Arabidopsis thaliana: one gene and its partners. The protein of the gene in region 2 purifies or fractionates together with the protein of the main gene of each other region. This does not show direct contact. Each region holds a gene or a part of one and is shown on either strand. Other genes may lie near its edges. The genes, in order: AT3G02860, AT2G23820 and VTC4.

Region 1 (7,362 bases), on a different chromosome or scaffold from region 2:
CTTATCCCGGAATCTCTCTGTTTTCGAACCTTTTACAATCAAAGCTGTCATGTTACCAATCAAGTAAGCTCCTAGAATCATATCGAATGAAATGTAGACCATCGCGAATATCATTTCCCGCATATTAACCGCGTGTATATCTCCATAACCTGCATTATAAGAAACATACCAAGTTAAGGAATGAAAGCAAACGATATATTCACCAAGTTTTCAGTTATCAGAACTTACCAACAGTTGCCATAGTAACAACTGCAAAGTACATAGAAGTAGTGTATCGAGTCCAGAGATCGATCTCTCTAAACTTCGAGTAACTGTAATCTCCTAACTTCAAGCTTCCAATCCAAGTGTACCCTTCTTGAGAAGCAGGAAGCGTCGTGGCCAAGTAATAGAAGATACAAGCTGCGGTGTGAGTGCAATAAAGCTCGACGAATATAAGCTTGACGATTCTTGTAAAAAGGTAATTGATTCTTATATCTTTCTCCATTTTGTGGAAAAACAGGATTACTCTATGAACTCGATATAGCCTTATCAACAATAGGTATCTCACTTCTTCTTTTTCGCCTGCAGCCTGTTTTCAAATTCACAGTTTCAAATTCTCCGTTTCCCGCAAAATCAAAAGAGTAAAAAGTGTATACCTTGTAGATGATATCCCATGGCATGCAAGCAAGTAAGTCAATTATAAAAGTTGATTTTAAGTACCTACAAAATTGACAAACACCATGAAGAGGTTAATCTCATTGAGTAGATAGCAAGAAAACAGAAACAGAGTAGAGTTTGAATACCGTAAAGCAATTGAGCTGCGTTTATAGATCATTCTATAAGTTCGGCTATCACGATAAGCAACGAAGAATGTCAAGACAATATCTACTAAGAAAGCGATTTGGCCAGCGATATCGAGGATGAACAGATTCTCTGGTAATCCCCTGAAGAATCCGAATTCCAATGGAGTGAAGAAGGAAGAATAAAGTGCCCATATCAATATAAACATCGTCCACGCCTTGTACCACCTGCAAATTCAAGAATCTTTAGATCCGGACAGAGTATTTAGTAGCTAAACTAAACTCACTACTTAGTCTACTTCTATTATTGCTCCAAACTTCAGCGAAACAGAGTTTTCTTCTTTAATCTGGTCTGACGTGTACAGACTCATGGTTGTTACATTTTTAACCAACGATCATTTGTAACCATTGAGAAACTGATACGTGTCATAAAGTGGCGGGAAATGAATGAATAACCGAAGAAAATGTTATTACACTAAAAAGGAAGGTTAAATCCACAATCAAGCCCCTAATGTTTTTGTTTGCACTACAATTGACCCCGAAAGTTGTTAAGCTAACAAATTTCCTTCAAAATTTCTCTAATAAAAGTAGTACGTAGCTTCAAAATATATAGGAAGATTGATTTCTATAAGATTTAGTCTCAGTATAAAGAAAAAAAGAAATTAATCAATACCTACCCTAAAATCCATATAACAAAGTAAGTGGACTAGAATAATACAAAATAAAACATAAGGCCTACTTATGAAACTATTAAAAGTTAAAGGACTCAGAAAACAAAATTCAAAAGCGTGACGAGAATTTATGGTGTACCGGTTATCGGGATGAACAATGGAGCCTCTGGAGATATCTCTGATTCCATTAATGACGGTGAACTTTCCACCGCTACCGCCGGCGAAGTCTAACCCTAAGAAATTGGTGAGAGGATTGAATCTGTTTCCTCGCGATTCTACAATCCCATCTCTGAAATCATCAACCTCGTAATCCTCTAATTCCACGTCTGATTCGCCGCCGCTACGATAAGAAACTCCGCCGCCGCTACTACCTCCCATTACACCTCCGAATCACGATACCAGATAATCGGATATTTGACGAAGAAGACAACCTCTCTGTTTTTCTCTCTCTTTCTCTTTCTCTCTCTTTCTCTCTTATTTCCTTTTTGTGATTTTCAGTTATATGCCTAAAATTGGCGCCTGTGTTTTCAAATTTCGAAACTTATCAGATAGAGAAAAAAATAGCAACTCAAGTTAATTCGATGAACAACACCATGGAATCGGCGAAATTTATACACAAATTTTCGGTTTTTTTTTGTTAGTGCTGTTGTTTATTTTTTACATTAAAAGTTCAAATTGTGATTCAAAAAGCCCATGCTATATTAATATTTTTATGGTCATAATAAAAGATAACGTAGTGTAAAAGAATAATAATATGTTTTAAAAAATAAGGTGAACCAGTGAGATATGGGTTTATTTTTAGAATGACCTATGAAGAGCACCATATAAATGATAAGAGAGTCTTTTATAACCACAAGATAAACAATAAGTCATTACGTGTTACGTACATGTGATAAGGTATCGTGATGTGATAAAGTTCGAGGAAGTCACTTTTTCGATCATTTTATTCGTAAATGTTTCTTTCTTTCTAATGCTAAACGATTTCTCCTTTATCACGTTTAAACATGCATAAGAGATTAGAGATCATAAGATTAAACACTTGTGATTGTGTGTGGTATTTTACAAGATATCGTTTGGTTATGTAGGTCGAAGCCGATGTGTGTGTGCGTGTGTGTGTTTTGTCACTCTTTTTTTCCTAAAATTCACATGAAGACGATGAATTCGAAAAATGGTATTTTATCTAAAACAAATTTGGAAAAACCAAGTTGGGATACAAGTGTTATGATGGATAGACTCTAAACTGAAATGTCCCTAAACTTTGATTCCCGTTGTGAAACACTTTACCATTAGAAAATTCACGTGACAATTTATATGATTAGTCAAGCTAGATAATGTTAAGGTATTATAGGAGATTGAGTGCATTCAGTTAGGTCAGAAGTAATTAGTTAACTAATTTTATGTTCTAATGGGATATTTGTTATATCATCGATTGTGCATTAACCGACCTTTGCTTTGGCTGTTCTCTCTCTCTTTGTTTTGTGGACTCCTTTTCAAGTTATAAACAAGATAACATAACCCTTTTTTTTTTGGTTATGCATATATCTTGATTTAAATATTTCAAATGTCAATGGTTTATAGTGGAAAGCCTAATGCATTTTTTTTATAAGTTATATAAGCATATGGTTGGTAATCACAAATAGTCCAAAAATTCACAAAAAAATATGAATATGTTTAGTTAGTGGTCTTCTTCCTTCTTCAATACTTGACCCCTAATTAGTTTCTCGACATATTTGACCCCTAATTGGTTTCTGGAATTGTCTCAATTATTTATTATTCCACATGTATTTGTTTAACAATAATAAGAGTTTTAACTTTAAAGATGATTGTTAAATTTACCACTTTCGTCATTATGTTTTGTGCCACCAAATGATCAATATCTGAAACATTCTCACTCAAAACTAGAATGATACGACCACCAGTCATAATCACTTTTTTTTTTTTAGTTTATCACCTGAAACTGGTCGGAACTGCCACAGTTTCAGGTTTCATCCCCAGATATTTCGGCCTTTTTGGCAACTCTGGTTATGAAAATTACGTTCTTGAATTATACCCATTAACCGATAACTATACCTCAAATACCAATTGATCCTCTGAAACTGATAATTGTATATATATGAGATTGATTAGTTTTCACTGTATATTCTCATAGAACATTGTATGTTTTACCAGGGTACAGATTTTTAAACAGTCTTTTCTAGTTTATTCAAAGATGTTGAGCTCTCCAATCAACAGCAGAATCCTCGTCATCCTCCTCATCGCTGGGCGATTCTTCTTCTGTCTTCTTCGGCTTTTTAACAGACCCCTCAGAGGTTTTACTGCGCTTCGCTAATCTTGCCGCTTTAAGTTCCATTTTCTTCCTCTTCAGAATCTCTACTTTCTCTTTGTATGATCTGCAGAATAAGATTAAAAGGAGAAGCCAAGTGTTTACTTAATCTTAAACAAGTCTCAACATTTCCATCTTCTTGCTATAACAAAGTAATGAATCAAATTACCTTTGCTCTCGTTGTTCCTCCTCTTCTATAGTTTCCGCAGCATCAACCTGACAATTAGAGTGCGAGAAAAGCGATTTTAAGTTTAAGAAAGAGCTTATGATACTGTCAGCAATTTATCATAGTGACAGAAAGTTATCTGACCTCTTCTTCTTCCATGCGGCTATCCACTACCTGCAAATCATCTTGTATCAACTTCTCAAATTCTTTATATTCATCCCTGTAAGAAGATCCATGTTTATATAAGTTCACGAAGAGAATTCTTAGGTACAAACCCATAAGATCATATGAACCATTCAAATTGAGAATGTAGGAAAGTAACTGGATCACAAGGTCCACAACAATGAGGTTTCACTTTGATTTTCTGCATCTGGAAAAGTAAAAGCAACAAAAAAAAAAAGAGAAGAAACTCACTTGATATCTGGTTTGACGAGCTTGATTCCATGGGCAAGCAGGTCAGCTTCTTTATTATCAAAAAAACCGGTTGGAAGGTTTCCATTCACCATTGGTTTTGTTTCTGGACCAGTGGTCTGTGTCTGACTCTGTTTAGGTTCACTGGTGGTTTTGGTATTTGAAGAATCAGTTTTCTGATTATCAAAGAATCCGGCTGGAAGAGGTCCCTTTGACTTATTTGTTTCAGATCCTATAGTGTGCTTTGATTGCTCTAAATTCTTGGATTTTGCTGGTTCTACTTCTGCTGCACATATATTTGATCAATAAGTTTTTTTTTTCGATTGACGAATGAAACTATCATCAATCTTTCAAAAAACCTAAGACTAGAGCCTTTAAGCATGGCATCCACATAACTAGCACCTAAACCAAAAGCCTTCTACTAAGAAAATTATTCGAAAAAGATAAGAACAAGAAGAGGAAAGTGCATTAGTCATTACCTCTAGCAGGCTCACGATTTTCGAAGAAATTTGGCGGAAGACCAGATGATGTCTGAGAATTGGATGATTTAGCCAAAGCTTCAATTTTCGTTGGCCGAGTTTCAGCAGGTTTGCTACCCCGTTGGACTCCCGCTGCACTAGCCTTGAGACTATCAATGGCCTGTCCAAACGTTACATTACGAAAGCTAAGTTAATAAGATTAAAGAACATAAAACAGAGAATCTAACGCATAAAATCATATAAGAGCATGAAATCTACCTATCTTCAATGTATGTAATTTATCAAATATCCCATTGTTGTTACTCAGGTTATAAGAGATTGTGAAGTAAAGCTTATGGAGCAGAAGACACTAAGTTTACCTCGTGGTGCTTACGAGAAGCTTGATGTACATCCCAGAGTGATTCAGATTTCAAGACGACATTGCAAACTCGACACACAGGCTGGTCTGATTCGTTGTACCTACAAATCCAAAGAACAAACTCTTCATCCCAACTACAGCTCAAGCCCAATCCCCAGAACCCACAAATATTTGGAATTGTAGAAACCCAGAAGTGACATCGAAACGAAGAGAAGAAGAAGCTAACAACGGTTTACCTAACGAGAGGAGAATCTATGCGGGTGTCTTTCTTCTTGGCGTTGAGTTTAGACCGGAACATGGCCTTCTTCTTCGCTTGAGCATCCATCACTCTCCTTCGTAGCAACCCACGCAACTCCCAAATTATCACAACCTCGCAAGGAATACGAAGATCTGAGAAATTTGTTCTATTCAAATCAAACCCTAAGTCCTTAGAGGAGGACAACAGTCACCGTGAGAATCAAAATTCCTCCCTCCGTTCTTCTCCGCAATCTCTTCTCTTTTACGGGTCGGGTCGATCCAACTCGGGATTAGACTTGAGACTTTCGGGATGCTTCTGGGTCGTTAGTCGTAACTGGGCCGGACTCATTATCCCCATTTTCCTCTGTTGTTAATTTAGTATGGATCACAAAATACCTTAAACTCCACCTTTTATAAAAAAAAAAAAAATGCAAACTCGATTACAAAGATCAACTACATGGAAGAACAGAATTATATCATTCAATACCAAACATATGATTTTTTTTTAATTGAATTCACAAAGGGTAGCAGAAAGAAAATAGTTTTTTTTTTTTCTCAACAATTGAGTTTGTTTTCTTTCTACCGAAAAGAAATATTCAATAATGTTAAGTTTTTGAATTGAGTTTGATCATATAAGGTTGAGACCATATTGTAAAATAATAACAGATGACTTCATGCCCCTGTAAGCCGCAACGCCTCAGCGAATAACTCCTTGAGAGAAGCGTTTGAAGCCGCGATCCTCTGCGATGTTATGTCCAAATCTTTACCGGATCTGATGAACAAAGACGACATAAAACAGTTAGTTATAATCAGTTGGACGGTTTGAGAGTGAGTGTGTTTGGTTTAATCTCAAACTCTTACGGATCAAAGATGAGTCCACCAGCTTCTTTCACGATAACAATTCCTGCTGCAATGTCCCTGTGAAAGATTTGATATTATTATGCCATCATCAGGATCTAATTTTGTTTGTACAAGAAAGAAATCCCCTTTTTTAATCCAAGCAAGGAAAAAAAAAAGAAGACAATTTACCATGGACCACCGAAACCGAGCTCGTAGAAGATATCAACCCTTCCACACGCAACGCCACAGAGGTCCAGTGCACACGAACCACTCATCCTAAGGGACCTGACCTGATGAATGAAGGACACAACAATCATGAGTTTTGGCAGAGACTAGAACCAAATTGGTGGAGTTCCAAATATCTATCGATAAACTTTTACCTTGGTTAGCAAACTGTTGATTCTGTTGGTTGTATCGTCTAATGTAGCTTTATCTCGTTTAGTACCCGCCTATATTCAATTGGTCACATTAGCGATGAGAGGAGGCTTCATAGCAATCTAGTTTTAGTAGTCTAACACAAAGGAGCCAGATTTTTACCTCTGTCACGAGCAAAGCGGTTAAAAGTTCGCTTTGAGCTGACACTGCAAAAAGAACATTGTTTGAGTTGAAAAGAAGGAAGAGAACTCAAGTCTCTGAACAAGTGATAGCTATACTCCGGATGCCATAAAAAGAGATCAAGAAATTTTTTATTAGGTCTCTAGAACAAGTGCTAACCTTTGATTCGCTTTCCATTCAAGAATGCTCCTTTCCCTTGGACACCGGTGAATAGCTGTTTGATCATTAGATATTATGTAAGAATTGAGAAAAATCTTGAAACATGCATGTACAGAGCACCATCAAGGAAACTATGTATAATGGTAAGTTGTAACGATCGAAGAAACTTGAAACAATGGAATACACAATCTTTTACCTCTTCCATAATAGGATTATAAACAACTCCAACAACAGGGACTTTTCCAATCGTAAGTCCAATGGAAACACACACGAAAGGGAACCTACAAAAAAAAAACAGCATTTGTTTTTGTTTTTGATGAAATGGGCAAATGAAACACACAGGTCATTCAAATGGGAATTGATCAATAATGATAATACCCGTGA
Region 2 (7,756 bases):
ATTTTATTTGAATTTCAAAGGTTTGAGCTATAAGGATATGATTATATAGATGGTCAGTGATGTTTAGATTTTAGTGCATTATATACAAAGTAAACTGGGTCTCATAATTATTTTACAAACAAATTACTGTACAGAATCAATCGAGTTTTACCAGCCGCTATTACGAGCTCGTGGCAAGCAGCTCCAAACGCCATAGCAAGAGACATCGCTAAGAGTGTTACTGGTGATGAATATCGTCAATGAAGTAAAGAGAAAATGTCTAACAAAAACACTGAAATATAAACCCTCTTCTAGTCCTTGGTGAACTAGTGATGTTGGTCGTGGTGGAGCAAACATAAGTAACTCTCAGTTTAGTCTCCTCAACTACATGCCCTGATTCTTTGCTAAACTGCAAAGTTGCTCATCAGAAAAAAACGAAACAAATGCTTTAAGGAACCAAAAGCCAAAGTGTGAATTATTCATCAAATCAACAATGTGAATCAGTACCATCTCACGAGTAACTTCTTTGGCTGTGACTCCAGGACTAGCCAGTACACTTTGAATCATAAACTTTTCAAAGCTCTGCATATCAGAAGGAACTTCCTTTTGAGCTTGCATGGTCACTAGACAAACAACAAATAAAGATTCATCAAATTCCTAGTCCAAGAACAAGTTTGGCAGTTGAAGGGGGAAAAAAAGTTTCCCCAAGAAAACGATTAGAGAACGGACCAAGAACTTTACAAGTCGACTTTGGAAGAATAAGTCCATAATTAGGCCTAACGCAATAGTTGTTCCGATTTGTCGTCTTAACCTCAAATAAAATAAAGAGAATCACGAGAAACCTTAGAAACACGAGATAATCACGACAATTTAATGACTCGGAAAACTTTGTTTTACCTTAAAGGCCACGTTATTGTCTGTCTTGTTCGTCAAGTAAAGAGAGCAAGACATCTGCTTCTTCAATTCAACTACATCAACTCAGCCAAGTGAATAGCGAAATTTAATAGTAAACCATAACTCAACAAAATCTGGTTATGGACAAGAAAGACATGCAAAATCAGGGAAAACAAGAAAAAGTCAAAAAAAAAACTTACAAGGGAATTGAAGATACATAGGCTCGATTTCGAGAAGCTCGTTGTTACTCATCTTGAGAAGATCGCCGGAGATTCAAACTTTTCCGATCGAGAGAGGGAGAGGGAGAGAGATCGAATGAAGAGAGTCGGAAAAATCGTTATTTGTCTTGTTACGACAAGGGTAAAAATTGTCTGTTCAACTAAAACTGAAACATTCTTTGAAAAGTTCCATGTTGAATAATCAGCTAAACCATTTGTTACGACTACTACTATTATATTATTATAAGTTTTGCAAATTAAAACCTCTACCAATTTCCCTTCTCCTTCCGAGTCCACTAAGTAGCTTCTCGCGCAAGAATCATTTTTAAAAAAATATAATAATTTAATTGTAGACTTGTGGTTAATAACATGAACATCGGAAAAAATCAAAATCTTAAAGGTTAAGATAAAAGAAGCTCAAAATCGACAAAAGAACTATGCGGATAAGCGTCGGAGAGAGTTTGGAGTTTTCGGTTGGAGATATGGTTTATTCTAAAATATGTTTTTAAAAAGAAAAGACATAACTACTAATGTTAATTTTGTGAAACCCAATGGTAAAAGGTTTAAAGACTTTTAGACTAGAGAGAAATCTAATCTAAGTGAGGTTAGTAGGAGATCTAAGTGTGGCAGGGAAACTACACTTTATGAAGTGTCTATACTCTATTCGTTATTCTTATTCAACTTTTAACCCGTGCAAAATCTTGAAACAAAACAAAACAAAGAAAAATCATTTGACCTCTATTAACGATCCGAAAATTTATATTGAGGAACCAATGATACTTTCTTAAAATAAAATTTAAGAGCTTGATTAAGTTTTTTGATCTTCATTAGCTATCTATAAGATAGTCACTAGCTAGCTATCTTTTATTAGTGATAGTAACAAAACAAGTAAAGACAGCTACGAAGATTATTAGAAAAACCTTAAGATGATTAAATTTGAAACGTACGAGTATTTGAACTCCACTGAGCTAGACGTTAAGAAACAAAAAGAAAGAGTCAAGTGAGAACTAATGTTGCTTTCGTCTTCTTGAAACAATCTCCGACGCCCAAGCCTTGCCTATATTAGTCTGGAACTTCCCTGAATCAAACAGTAACAAGCTTAAAGCCTTCAACCATATTCAGATTATCTATTTAGAGTATAATGACATACAACAAAAATTACCTGCTGTTGATTGGAAAAACTCTTCTAGATCTTTCCCTTGATCTGCGTTAAATAGCAAACAAAAAACAATATGAGTATTAGTTTCTGCTAAATCTCTTATCGAAAGAGAGTTTCTTTTATTGGTCATTCATTACCTTGTTCATATTCCAAAGCTTGTAGTATCAGCTCAACTTTATCGAAATCTTTAACAACTTTGGCTTCAGGTGAAGAGTTCTCTTCGTATTCTCTCCAAAGCTCAGCGATTTCTTTTGCTGCAATTACGATATATACATTTTTAGAAGTGATGATAAGTGTTATACAAATGAGCATAAGAAGGTCGAACGAAGATACATAAGGTATTTCAACAATAGAAGAGAAACAGACCTCTTTCGCCTCCACCCAAGAGTTTGCACATGTGCTCAAGTGCTTCGCTTTCTCTTCGGTTTTTCTCTTCTTTAGATATCCCACAAGAAGGTGTAATGTCTCCTACAATGGCTGCTCAACAACAACTCGACTAAATAACTCGTGATTAAGAAAATCGATGATTAAAAATCTCTAAAAGTGAAAGAACTAACCTTCTGCAATATCATGAACAATCGCCATTTTCATGCATCTATAGAAAGAAAAGTATGTATATAAGAAGAGTTTTTTCACAGCAGTTGAAACTTGAAAAGAGAGAAGCAAGCAAGAAACTTACTTGTCTCTGTTAACACCGGGGATATCTGAAGAAATTAGAGCCATAAGACCCATCCGATACATGTGATCCGCTATAGATTCTGGATCTTTCACATCTCTCTTAATCCATCCAGCTCTTGGAGTTGTCTATTTGATATAAAAAGATGGTTTACCAAACGATACAGCACACAAACTCTATCGTTAAATCAGCAAACAAAAACTCACTTGATTCACAAAAAAGTAAAACACATGACAAACTTCACATCTTCAAGGATTTAGTAATCACAGACCATTAATCACATAAACTTGAAATCATTTCATTCCCCTAAACGAATTCTACAATCCGTCAACAGATGCAGCCAAGCTTGACAATGTTTCATTTCCGTAACAATCCACTATACATTCCAATACAATCCATTAAGCACGAAACGTTTCAAGCTATCTCCACACAGATCCATCATAACATTGATAACAAACATCCACACAAATCTAAAAAACAAATGATCTTATATAAACAGTTACAATGCATTGAGTTTCTACAATCCATCACCAGAATAATCTCCATTCTTAACACAGATCCAATCTTACATTGGTAAAAAACATCCACATAAATCTAAACAATGCGTTAGAGGTTTCAAACCAACATCTGTATCAAATTCTAGGTTCCATAGACAAAAGTTACGAGTAGAAATAGTTCATTGACAGAAACCACCGCGAAAACTAACCAGATTCACATAAAAACTTCACATCTACACAGTAACAACAAAGCTTGAAATCGTTTCATTGCACAAACGAATTTACAGATTCCAATACAATCCATCAACAAGAACATCAAAAGTAACTACATAGCTTGAAATCGTTTCATTTCCCTAACGAAATCAGATTTCCACACAATCCATCAACAAGAACAATCGCATCATCTAACCAACATTGCGTTGTATAATCACACAAAACCACCGGATCTTAGCGAAAATGTAAGGCGGATCAATCAAAGCTTACCTTGAGACGAGTACAGAGAGAGAGGAAATCAATGGCGGAAGAAGCGGACGAAGAAGAAGAAGAAGAGGGAACAGCCGCGACATTAGGAGGAGAAGAGACGGAACCATCTCCGGATTGAGGGGAATCGGAAGCCATGCAGTGAATAGCTCGATTAGGAGAAGAAGCACCGGCGGCGGAGTAAGTAAATCGGATATGAGAACGAGTGAAAGAAGGAACGAGGAAGACGAGAGATAGTGATTTGCAGAAGAAGACTCGATTCACATTCTTCATCTTTCTTTTTTTTTCTTTGCTTTATCTTTCTTCGTGTTTTGGGAATCGTGTTTGTTTACTTTGTTACCTTAACTGTTTCGTCGTTTCGATTAGTTTTGTTTCCTCTGGAGACTTTTATTGGGCCTTTTATTATATGAAGACCCAATAGTGTAGTGGGTCTTGAATTCCGAATCATTGGAAAAAAGAAAATAAGTCCCTTCACTTGGTTGATCTGGACAGCGTTTGCTTGAAGACAAGCAAACTATCTAGGTTCGGGTCATGAGTTTCGTGGGGCTAACATCAAATCAGGGGAAAAACGTATTTTCATATCTAGGTTTGGTCAAGAGTTTATAACAACATCGTTTTAAGTGTTAGAATTAAAATTTTATAGAGTTGTACAAAAAAATTAGGTCTCGAACTCATGATAGTTGTCGATCAAATGTTAATAAGCTGCCTAAATGAGTGAAACGTCGTGGCTTCAATATCTGATTTTTACAAAATTTTGTATAACTTTAATTCTAACATTTAACACGATGTCGTTTTGAAGTATAACATCAAATACATGTCATTTGACTCAGCAACTGTAACAGTTGACTAATACTCGTTATTTACGATTTTGAATTAAGCACTAAATGTAAAGTTTAGCTATAAAATTCAAATGTTTTTGGAGTTTGGGTATGAATTCATCCTTCAAATTTGTTTTGGTATGAAAATACACTTTGTAAATTGTTCGGGTATAAAAAAACCCTTGTCCCAGAAAATAAGAGTATGGTTTTTGAATTTCTAATTCTCTGTTTTTTTTTTCTACTTTTATTTGGAAAGTCTTATTCAAGGTTCTTGTGTGTTCAGGTTTGTTGATTTGGACCACCTCACTCGGTTTCTTCTAGGAGTTGATGCTCTGAAGTTTATGATCATATTCCTGATATCATCAGAGTGCAAGATTCCTCAAAGTAGTACTTACTACTAGAAAAGTTGATGGTACATTACTAATTAGTTTGTTACTATCATATTATGTGATATGATGATATTTAATATAATAAAGTAAAGTTTCCACAAAACTCAAGCTATGAGAAGCTAACCGTCACATTTTTTTCAAACTTAAATAAACTAATATCTATTTTAGTTAGTGTTATTCACATAATTATACTTATAAGCTACATATAAGAAAATATTTAGTAGGTAAATATTTTTTCTACGGATGTATCAAAGGTAAAAATATCAAAAATGTGTCAGTTTTCAAATTTAGGACGAAAAAACTTAAACTTTCAAAATATCATTAAATCACAATTTTTTTTTTGAATTTTTTAATATAGTAGCCTCGGATTGACTGATTATTGTTTGTACAAAATTTTGGTGTCTCGTTTTCTCTTTGCATATGCAATGTGTCACATGGATGTCTTATGTGGATTTGATACTGATATGTTGTAACGTGATTGGTCATTTACCTAAAAAGTGAAATTTTTCTCAAACAATGATCTAAATTGAAATATAGTCGGACTTTTTTTTTATGCTAAGAATATAAATATTTCATATGTAAATTAGGAGAATGGATTAAATTTTTAGGTAACACTTAATGTATTAAATCCATTCTCCTAATTTACATATGTTAATATTTACAATATTATCTTCTATTTATCATTTTTAATTTAATCAAGTTATTCAAATCTATTTATTTTTTTGTCAAAATTTCAAATCTTATTAATATAAAAAATTATTTGAGAAATTATCATAAAACAATCTAATTAATATGCATTATTATTGGATAACGATTTTTGGTATTTAAAACAATCTAGTTCACTTAAATCTATGATAGATTGTTTTAAATACCAAAAATCGTTATCCAATAATAATGTATATTACAAATTTAAAATAGTGCTTCAAAGGAATCCAACAAGAAAAATAAAAAACAACACAAGTACACAACAACAATAACAACGCAAGTAGGTTAGGTACTTAGGTAGCAATGCATGCAGCCTGATTCAAACGATCTACATATGTTTTTAAATAAAAGATCATGTCATTTGATTCTTCCCATTGTCTATTTTCTATAATAAGTAGGTTAGGTATCAACGCAGCCTCCAAAAGCATAAAAACAAATTGCAAATTTTCCAGTGGCATATGTATATATTAGTCACTTGAATTTCATTAAATAAAATACGAGTAGAAACGTTGACAAATATTACGAGTAAACAAAAACAAATTGGACTTTGGAAGCCTTTACATTTTGCTCACGCAAGTAAAAACAAAAGGAAAAAGAAATACTCAATTATTTGACATAGTAGAAATAAGATATTCATATGAAAGTGAAAGCCATTTGATCTTTCAAAGGTTTAATGGTTTTATATTAGGCTAAGGTATGCTTTTCAAACAATTGTTTAACTAAAAAAACTGTAGATACAAAAAAATAATCATAATTTCAGCATATTGCAAATAAGATTGTTTGTTGTGTATTACAATTTACAAATAAAATTATATATCGTAAGTTTATAACCATAAACAGAATCTGTCTTTAATTTTTTAGAAGGTCACAACTGAGGAAAGAAAATAAAAGTTTTTTTAATGATTTATAAAAATTACAAAAGTTAAGAAATTTCAAAATAAAAATGTGGTAAACAAAACTTCTTTTATTTGTTAAGACATTGCTATAATTTTTTTTCTTATTAATTATTTAGTTATACTGAAATTAAATTTTATATAATTAGCTGCAAACTCATAATTACTTAACTTAGTCTAAAAACCAGTTATGGTCATAAACTATATATTATGAGAAAATTAGTCAGTCTTACTTTTTTTTATGAAATTATTTCATTGCAAGTTATATTCAATCTATAGATAATGAATATTTATTTAATAATCATGATAAGATAAGATCAAATATAGAAGAAAATATACACAAGAGAAAAAAACTAAATAAAAAGTATAATTAAATAAGTACAAGTCATTATCCAAAAATATCCACCACTCGCGTAAAAGCGCGTGGAAGTTAAAAAGTCATTCTCCTAAATGAACCAAGTCTTCAAGTCTCAACTACTTCCTAAAGACAATTAGAAATTTAGAACCAAAACAAACGAAACTTCTCTGCAATAGCCTTCTCCAAATTTCCTCACTTTCACGCGTTTCAGTCTTCTCTATATAAACTTGTTTCATCAACCCATCAAAATCCCACTCAAATTCTGTTTCAGTGTTCTTCAAATTCTCAATCTTTCTCTCAATTCATCTAAAGGGTTCCTCAAAGTTTCAATCTTTCTCTCTGAATCTAAACCATGGCTCGTTGTAGCAACAATCTCGTAGGGATACTCAATTTCCTAGTATTTCTTCTCTCGATCCCAATCTTAGCTGGTGGAATCTGGCTAAGCCAAAAAGGGTCAACAGAGTGTGAAAGATTCCTAGACAAACCAGTGATTGCTCTTGGTGTTTTCCTTATGGTTGTAGCAATAGCTGGTCTAATAGGTTCATGTTGTAGAGTCACATGGCTTCTTTGGGTTTATCTCTTTGTCATGTTCCTTTTGATTCTCCTTGTGTTCTGTATAACAGTTTTTGCCTTTGTTGTTACTAACAAAGGAGCTGGTGAAGCTATTGAAGGAAAAGGTTATAAAGAGTA
Region 3 (7,577 bases), on a different chromosome or scaffold from region 2:
GAGAAAAAGGAAAAAAAGAAAAGTTACTAATTGGAATATTTCCTTTTTGACAAAAAAGTTAAAAGAGAATCTTATGTATTTAATTTGACAGCTAATTTACAGAAAGATAATTAATTAATTATAAGGTTATGACTTATGAATACTAGTTGTAACAATTTTATCAGAGTCAACTATATTTGCGTTACATAAATGACAATAAATCACTGCAGTAATGTTTTTTGTAGACGTTTAAACGACCTCTGTTTTTCCTTTCTTTTGTATTAGATCAATAAATTAGGTCTAATTAAAAAATTAATGGTCGTTATCGTTTTGTTTCTTTTATGTTTTTTTTTTTTGCAGGTTGAGTGTGACCAAAGACATGCCAGGTCTGTCAAATGTGTCTGAGCTACCGTTGACAAACAAAGATTAGCCTCTCCGACACCGTTTTTATTTCTGATATAAGTTTGTACCATAGACATTTTTTTTTTTTTTTTATGTATTTGTTGTATCAATTTGAAAGGAAGGTAATAGAAATGGTCAACAGAGAACTTAAGAAGTGGTATTCATTTTGAAGATTTCAATTGTTCAATTTTTAAAACTCTTACATCAAATTTATTTTAATAGAAGTGGTTGGTTTCTCGTGACTATTAACAAACATTCTTCCCAACCCGAAACCTAACCTCACCTAACTTTCAAGTTCAAATACAAATAGATGATGACTAATATAAGCTGATTTTCTCCCAACACCTTCTATAATTCACTCTTAACCTCTTCTTCATGGCTATGACCATGTTCGTCCAAATAAGAAACGGCCATAGCTGCGTGAAGAGCAGCCCCAACAGGAAGAGCTTCTTCATCAACAAAGAAGTAAGGCGAGTGAAGCGGCTTACCAGCGCCTAGCGTCTCATTCTTTACCCCCAGCACGAAAATCGCAGCCTTAGTCTTTTGAGTGAAGAAGCTGAAATCCTCTCCTCCCATTGTCACCGGGAAATCATGGAAGTTATTCTTTCCAATCATCGCTTCCGCTACTTTTTTACCGTGCTCGTATAAGCCCTCGTCGTTATTCATTACCGGGTGAAGCGACGGCTTTTTCTCTTCGAAGTTTACTTCTGCTTTGCATCGGTATACCGATGCTTGTGCCTCTGAAATCTGCATCATCATCAAGAAACATTTAAACAGGGTTAGGGACCTACATTATTCGAATAGTAGAACAAGATTGTATAGAAAAATGGTGTAAAAAACAATCTCTTTACCTCTTTGATCCGTCTTTGGATAAATAGAAGCCCATCGTTGCTTAAGCTTCTGAAAGTACCTCCAAATTTCGCACTCTGCGGTATTACGTTTTGAGCATGACCTCCTTCAATATATCCAACTGTAACCACCTGAGAAACATAAAAAAACCAATCTCCGCTGATTTCAGCCAAGATTCTGATTCATCAAACACCAATGCTTTGAAAGTGGAAAGCAAACTTACACCAGCTTCGAGTGGATCCAGTTCCCGCGAAACAATCTGTTGCAAGGCAACAACAGCGGAAGAAGCTGCAAGAACCGGGTCTTTAGAGAAGTGCGGTGTAGCTGCGTGGCTACCTTGACCGTGAACCGTGACTGTAAACAATCCTGCACCTGCAAGAACGGTCCCAGGCCTAGAACCAATACCACCTGATGGGATCGATGGAAAGACATGAACACTGAGTATCCCATCTAAGTCGTCTAGAATCTCGTCTTTTAGCATTTCATAAGCACCTGCATAACCTTCCTCGCCTGGTTGAAACACAAGTTTTACTGTCCCCTGTTGCAAAAAAATTGTGTTTTCGTTCAAAACCCTCATAAGATTCACCAAACTCTCATAAGACACACACACTAACAACTCTAGAAAACACACACACATAACAATTAGCAATCAAAGACATACACACACATATATCTAAGAATCTTAGAAAACACTAACCCACATCGAAATGAGTTTTAATTGCAGGGCACAGACAGAATCATTCAAAATTATACATATAAATTGAGTGAAAGAGAAAAAAGAGAGACCTTGATGAGGTGTTTTGTGGTTTGAAGAAGCTTAGCAGCACCAAGAAGCATAGCAACATGAGTATCATGACCACAAGCATGCATCTTTCCATCTACTTTACTTTTCGATTCCCATTCCACTAATTCCTTTTTTTGTCCCCATTTTTTCAAATTCATTAGTCAAACAAAGCAATCTAAAAATCAGAGTAAAAATCGGAACTTTGATTATTAGATTTCAAACCTGTAACGGAAGTGCGTCCATGTCGGCTCTAAGTCCGAAAACAGGTTTCGAACAGGATCCGATCCAAGCGACGACGCCAGTCTTCGCCACAGGATACTTATACTTCACTCCAAGCGAGTCAAGCTCGTCTCGAACGAGTTGACTCGTTTTGAACTCCTGAAACCCTGTCTCTGGGTTCTCATGAATCTTTCTCCTAATTCCTCTCATCCACTCGAAGAACTCAGGATCCTTGGCTGAATGAAGCATCCCGCGAGCGAGTGACTCGAGACCCGAACCAGAATCGTAGCTCCCAGCTGAAGACAGAGGAGGGAGAAAGAAGAAGGTAACGAAGATGACAAAGAAGCTCCCTGAGAAATCCATTCTGATTTCTTTTGTTTGTCGATGTAAACTGGCAAGTGTCAATGAAAGAAAGGACAACGGTGAATACGATGATGATGAAGGAGAAGGAGTTGGATCACCGATCCATTTTTAATATTTATATAGTACGTAATTTACACACGTTTTTGGAAACTCTTTTAATCGTTTTTAAATACGTATACGCCTCTAATGTGAAATTCATAATTTATGGTTGTAATGTGAAGAAAATAATGAAATACCAAAGATAAAATATGAAAATGATACAATGTAGTATATTTACGGTATAAAAGGAATATTTACTTGAAATGAATTAGTACGTTTAATACACGATTTTACCATTTATGTTAATGAAAATTAACACTTTTAAAATAAAACATGGCATGAATTAGAGTTGTGAGAATCACATGTAGGCCTTTAAGGTTCTTAAATTTTTAATTCCTTATAACATAGGCCCATGTATTTGATTGACATATAGGCCATTGGGTTCTTCGACTTTTAAATTACTTATAACAAAGGCCCACCTATTTGAAGCGCATTGTTAAACATTTTGTTTATATTTTGATTATGATCGAAAATTCTCTAGAACAATTCGTACAAAAGAAGCTGTTTACGAAAGTAGCTGTACATGCGAACATAATCAATAAAAATGTAAATGACTAATGAAACATCAGAATATCCGTACAAAATTGTGACTTTATATTATTTAGTTATAGGTACAAAGTTGTGGAGAGTAAAAAAATAAAAAAGGTAAAAAGTTGTGGAATAGACCTATGAAACAATCACAAACATACAACCAAAATGCAAATTGTAATTACGCAACAGAGGCTTTCTTTTCAAGGAAGTCAAGTGTAAGATTTGCAAATGCCCCAATTATTATTTGAGAGAAAAAGGGATATTGCTAATCACAATTAACGGTCACATTACAATTCCCTTTTTTCTCTGTTATTTCCTCTTCTTTCACAATTAAGTTCTTAACGGTCACATAAATATTTTGTTTTTTATATAATGAGTTTAATTAAGTTGAAGAATCAACTGATAAGGTTGATGATCCGATCCTCAAAAGTATACTAACCACAACACTGTCTACGTTCATGTTAGTACCTACTTCAAAGTCCATGTACGTTGGGACTGGCTGTATCTTCCGCCGAGAGCAGCAGAGAGCGTCATCGCTGTCTTGGAACGAGAGAAAGGTCGAGACTATCTCTAAGGCAACCAAAAGCTTAGCTATGATGAAGACATCTTTCTCTCTCTCTTTGCCTATGAATGGAGAATACAACAAATAATATAAAGTGATGGACATTTCTATGCTTTGCTTCTCTTCTCCAAAGAGAAATAGATGAAAAAGATTGTTGATTTTCGTTTCTCTCGAAGAAGAAGAAAGAAGAAGAAGGTGAATAGAGACTTTTGATTTCTCAAGAATGAACAAGTAGATTGTAGAGTGTTAGTGTTTAGTTCTGTTCTTAGGTTGCAGAGATTGTGTATGTGTGGCGTTTGATGTCTCGTGTTGGAGAGGTGGTCTCGTTTAGAGTGTTAGTGTTTAGTTCTGTTCTTCTGTTGATCTGTGTTTTTTTTAAATGTAAATTACACAAGTATGCAAAACAAATCTCTTCTCAGAAAGGGGCTACTGTTATATCATGAGATTTATAAGACAAAATGTAAAATATCGGAAAAATAAAACAACATAATTTTGGTGTTGAATGAGTTTTTCTTGTCCACACAACGGCAGAAGCAGTAGACGATTGTTCCTTTGTCTCTTGATCACAAACCGATTTCAAAGTGTTCTTCGCATTTTTCTCATCAATGTAAGTGAACCAGCCAGAGAAAGACAAGTATGCACCAATATCATTCCGGCCCCATATTCAGAATAAATTAGAACATCTTTTTCCTTCCGTGTTATGCACTTGTTCTAAAAAAAAAGAATTCCGGCCCATATTCAGAATAAGGAGTCCAGTCCAATAGTCTCAAGTCCAAACCCGACTCGGGTCTGTCCGACCCGGAAAAGAGAACTGATTACAGAATGCGGGTTTTGTCAAGAGAAAGTTGGATGATAAAATTGAGGTGAAATCTAATCTTCAAATGATCATTGGTTAGCTTTTTGTATAACGGATTTTCTGAAATCCTCTTATTTCCCATATCGGACCGTGATTATTGGGTGATTTCGGATGCCTAATTGGGTAATTAATATAATACAGTATAAGATTAGATGCCTCGAATATTCGCTCTGTGCCTAACCACAAAAACCGTAACTTTTGGTTTTCTCTGAAACACATCCCAAAGTAAAGAAAGCATCACTCTTTTCGTCTTCTCTCGAAAATGGCGGACAATGGTAAAGTCACGATCAATCTCTGCAAACCTTATTTGATTTCCCTGTTTCCTCATTTTCTTTCGGGCGACATTGATTTGACGCAGATTCTCTAGATCAGTTTTTGGCTGCCGCCATTGATGCCGCTAAAAAAGCTGGACAGGTCTATCTTTCGATCTCCTTGAGTTTTGATCGATATTTTGGCTAATCGTTATTTAATCTGGCTCCTTTTGGTTTGCGTTCTGCAGATCATTCGTAAAGGGTTTTACGAGACTAAACATGTTGAACACAAAGGCCAGGTTTTTGTTTCTTTCCTCCGCTCAGATAATGTTTCAATCACTCAATAAGTGGGAATGGCTACTTAAGAGTGTCAATTTTTTTTTTGAAATTATCTTCTATGGCTCCTTAAATTGTTGCTTTTAGGTGGATTTGGTGACAGAGACTGATAAAGGATGTGAAGAACTTGTGTTTAATCATCTCAAGCAGCTCTTTCCCAATCACAAGGTGGTGATTATTTCTTCTTTTGAATTCCCATTTTGTTGGCTTCTTCCTCGCGTTGATCATTAGAGTTTTGCTATAATTTATTAGTTCATAGGAGAAGAAACTACAGCTGCATTTGGTGTGACAGAACTAACTGACGAACCAACTTGGATTGTTGATCCTCTTGATGGAACAACCAATTTCGTTCACGGGTATTATCATTATTGATCAATTCCCATTTGAATGACCTGTGTGTTTCATTTGCCCATTTCATCAAAAACAAAAACAAATGCTGTTTTTTTTTTGTAGGTTCCCTTTCGTGTGTGTTTCCATTGGACTTACGATTGGAAAAGTCCCTGTTGTTGGAGTTGTTTATAATCCTATTATGGAAGAGGTAAAAGATTGTGTATTCCATTGTTTCAAGTTTCTTCGATCGTTACAACTTACCATTATACATAGTTTCCTTGATGGTGCTCTGTACATGCATGTTTCAAGATTTTTCTCAATTCTTACATAATATCTAATGATCAAACAGCTATTCACCGGTGTCCAAGGGAAAGGAGCATTCTTGAATGGAAAGCGAATCAAAGGTTAGCACTTGTTCTAGAGACCTAATAAAAAATTTCTTGATCTCTTTTTATGGCATCCGGAGTATAGCTATCACTTGTTCAGAGACTTGAGTTCTCTTCCTTCTTTTCAACTCAAACAATGTTCTTTTTGCAGTGTCAGCTCAAAGCGAACTTTTAACCGCTTTGCTCGTGACAGAGGTAAAAATCTGGCTCCTTTGTGTTAGACTACTAAAACTAGATTGCTATGAAGCCTCCTCTCATCGCTAATGTGACCAATTGAATATAGGCGGGTACTAAACGAGATAAAGCTACATTAGACGATACAACCAACAGAATCAACAGTTTGCTAACCAAGGTAAAAGTTTATCGATAGATATTTGGAACTCCACCAATTTGGTTCTAGTCTCTGCCAAAACTCATGATTGTTGTGTCCTTCATTCATCAGGTCAGGTCCCTTAGGATGAGTGGTTCGTGTGCACTGGACCTCTGTGGCGTTGCGTGTGGAAGGGTTGATATCTTCTACGAGCTCGGTTTCGGTGGTCCATGGTAAATTGTCTTCTTTTTTTTTTCCTTGCTTGGATTAAAAAAGGGGATTTCTTTCTTGTACAAACAAAATTAGATCCTGATGATGGCATAATAATATCAAATCTTTCACAGGGACATTGCAGCAGGAATTGTTATCGTGAAAGAAGCTGGTGGACTCATCTTTGATCCGTAAGAGTTTGAGATTAAACCAAACACACTCACTCTCAAACCGTCCAACTGATTATAACTAACTGTTTTATGTCGTCTTTGTTCATCAGATCCGGTAAAGATTTGGACATAACATCGCAGAGGATCGCGGCTTCAAACGCTTCTCTCAAGGAGTTATTCGCTGAGGCGTTGCGGCTTACAGGGGCATGAAGTCATCTGTTATTATTTTACAATATGGTCTCAACCTTATATGATCAAACTCAATTCAAAAACTTAACATTATTGAATATTTCTTTTCGGTAGAAAGAAAACAAACTCAATTGTTGAGAAAAAAAAAAAACTATTTTCTTTCTGCTACCCTTTGTGAATTCAATTAAAAAAAAATCATATGTTTGGTATTGAATGATATAATTCTGTTCTTCCATGTAGTTGATCTTTGTAATCGAGTTTGCATTTTTTTTTTTTTTATAAAAGGTGGAGTTTAAGGTATTTTGTGATCCATACTAAATTAACAACAGAGGAAAATGGGGATAATGAGTCCGGCCCAGTTACGACTAACGACCCAGAAGCATCCCGAAAGTCTCAAGTCTAATCCCGAGTTGGATCGACCCGACCCGTAAAAGAGAAGAGATTGCGGAGAAGAACGGAGGGAGGAATTTTGATTCTCACGGTGACTGTTGTCCTCCTCTAAGGACTTAGGGTTTGATTTGAATAGAACAAATTTCTCAGATCTTCGTATTCCTTGCGAGGTTGTGATAATTTGGGAGTTGCGTGGGTTGCTACGAAGGAGAGTGATGGATGCTCAAGCGAAGAAGAAGGCCATGTTCCGGTCTAAACTCAACGCCAAGAAGAAAGACACCCGCATAGATTCTCCTCTCGTTAGGTAAACCGTTGTTAGCTTCTTCTTCTCTTCGTTTCGATGTCACTTCTGGGTTTCTAC

Evidence for each region.
Region 1: the proteins of AT2G23820 (region 2) and AT3G02860 fractionate together in Arabidopsis thaliana (co-fractionation; one large-scale study listed by BioGRID). This does not show direct contact.
Region 3: the proteins of AT2G23820 (region 2) and VTC4 fractionate together in Arabidopsis thaliana (co-fractionation; one large-scale study listed by BioGRID). This does not show direct contact.

What each region holds. Positions count from the first base shown.
Region 1 is NC_003074.8:621,646-629,007, forward strand, and holds AT3G02860 (zinc ion binding protein), read right to left. Parts: upstream 5,723-7,362; 5' UTR 5,513-5,722; coding exon 5,424-5,512; intron 5,289-5,423; coding exon 5,189-5,288; intron 4,990-5,188; coding exon 4,830-4,989; intron 4,637-4,829; coding exon 4,354-4,636; intron 4,160-4,353; coding exon 4,084-4,159; intron 3,990-4,083; coding exon 3,943-3,989; intron 3,841-3,942; coding exon 3,654-3,840; 3' UTR 3,518-3,653; downstream 1-3,517. Other genes in the region: SKOR (STELAR K+ outward rectifier), read right to left, coding at 1-149, 229-568, 636-699, 783-1,007, 1,590-1,828; VTC4 (Inositol monophosphatase family protein), read right to left, coding at 6,097-6,196, 6,286-6,342, 6,454-6,554, 6,645-6,713, 6,802-6,845, 6,979-7,033, 7,175-7,259, 7,357-7,362. UniProt on the Arabidopsis thaliana protein: Essential for breaking seed dormancy before seed germination. Prevents reactive oxygen species (ROS) accumulation in response to abscisic acid (ABA) and oxidative stress, probably by repressing the accumulation of ABA-induced ROS-scavenging enzymes (e.g.
Region 2 is NC_003071.7:10,137,015-10,144,770, reverse strand, and holds AT2G23820 (Metal-dependent phosphohydrolase), read right to left. Parts: upstream 4,389-7,756; 5' UTR 4,177-4,388; coding exon 3,907-4,176; intron 3,055-3,906; coding exon 2,930-3,054; intron 2,846-2,929; coding exon 2,808-2,845; intron 2,728-2,807; coding exon 2,617-2,727; intron 2,505-2,616; coding exon 2,388-2,504; intron 2,296-2,387; coding exon 2,254-2,295; coding exon of another isoform or gene 2,219-2,253; exon of another isoform or gene 2,170-2,218; coding exon 2,099-2,169; 3' UTR 1,833-2,098; downstream 1-1,832. Other genes in the region: AT2G23830 (PapD-like superfamily protein), read right to left, coding at 260-388, 487-602, 709-790, 877-947, 1,074-1,125; TET8 (tetraspanin8), read left to right, coding at 7,419-7,756.
Region 3 is NC_003074.8:627,012-634,588, reverse strand, and holds VTC4 (Inositol monophosphatase family protein), read left to right. Parts: upstream 1-4,663; 5' UTR 4,664-4,906; coding exon 4,907-4,919; intron 4,920-5,002; coding exon 5,003-5,058; intron 5,059-5,143; coding exon 5,144-5,194; intron 5,195-5,318; coding exon 5,319-5,399; intron 5,400-5,483; coding exon 5,484-5,587; intron 5,588-5,684; coding exon 5,685-5,769; intron 5,770-5,910; coding exon 5,911-5,965; intron 5,966-6,098; coding exon 6,099-6,142; intron 6,143-6,230; coding exon 6,231-6,299; intron 6,300-6,389; coding exon 6,390-6,490; intron 6,491-6,601; coding exon 6,602-6,658; intron 6,659-6,747; coding exon 6,748-6,847; 3' UTR 6,848-7,077; downstream 7,078-7,577. Other genes in the region: ILR1 (Peptidase M20/M25/M40 family protein), read right to left, coding at 730-1,128, 1,233-1,361, 1,454-1,768, 2,017-2,142, 2,237-2,596; AT3G02860 (zinc ion binding protein), read left to right, coding at 7,432-7,520.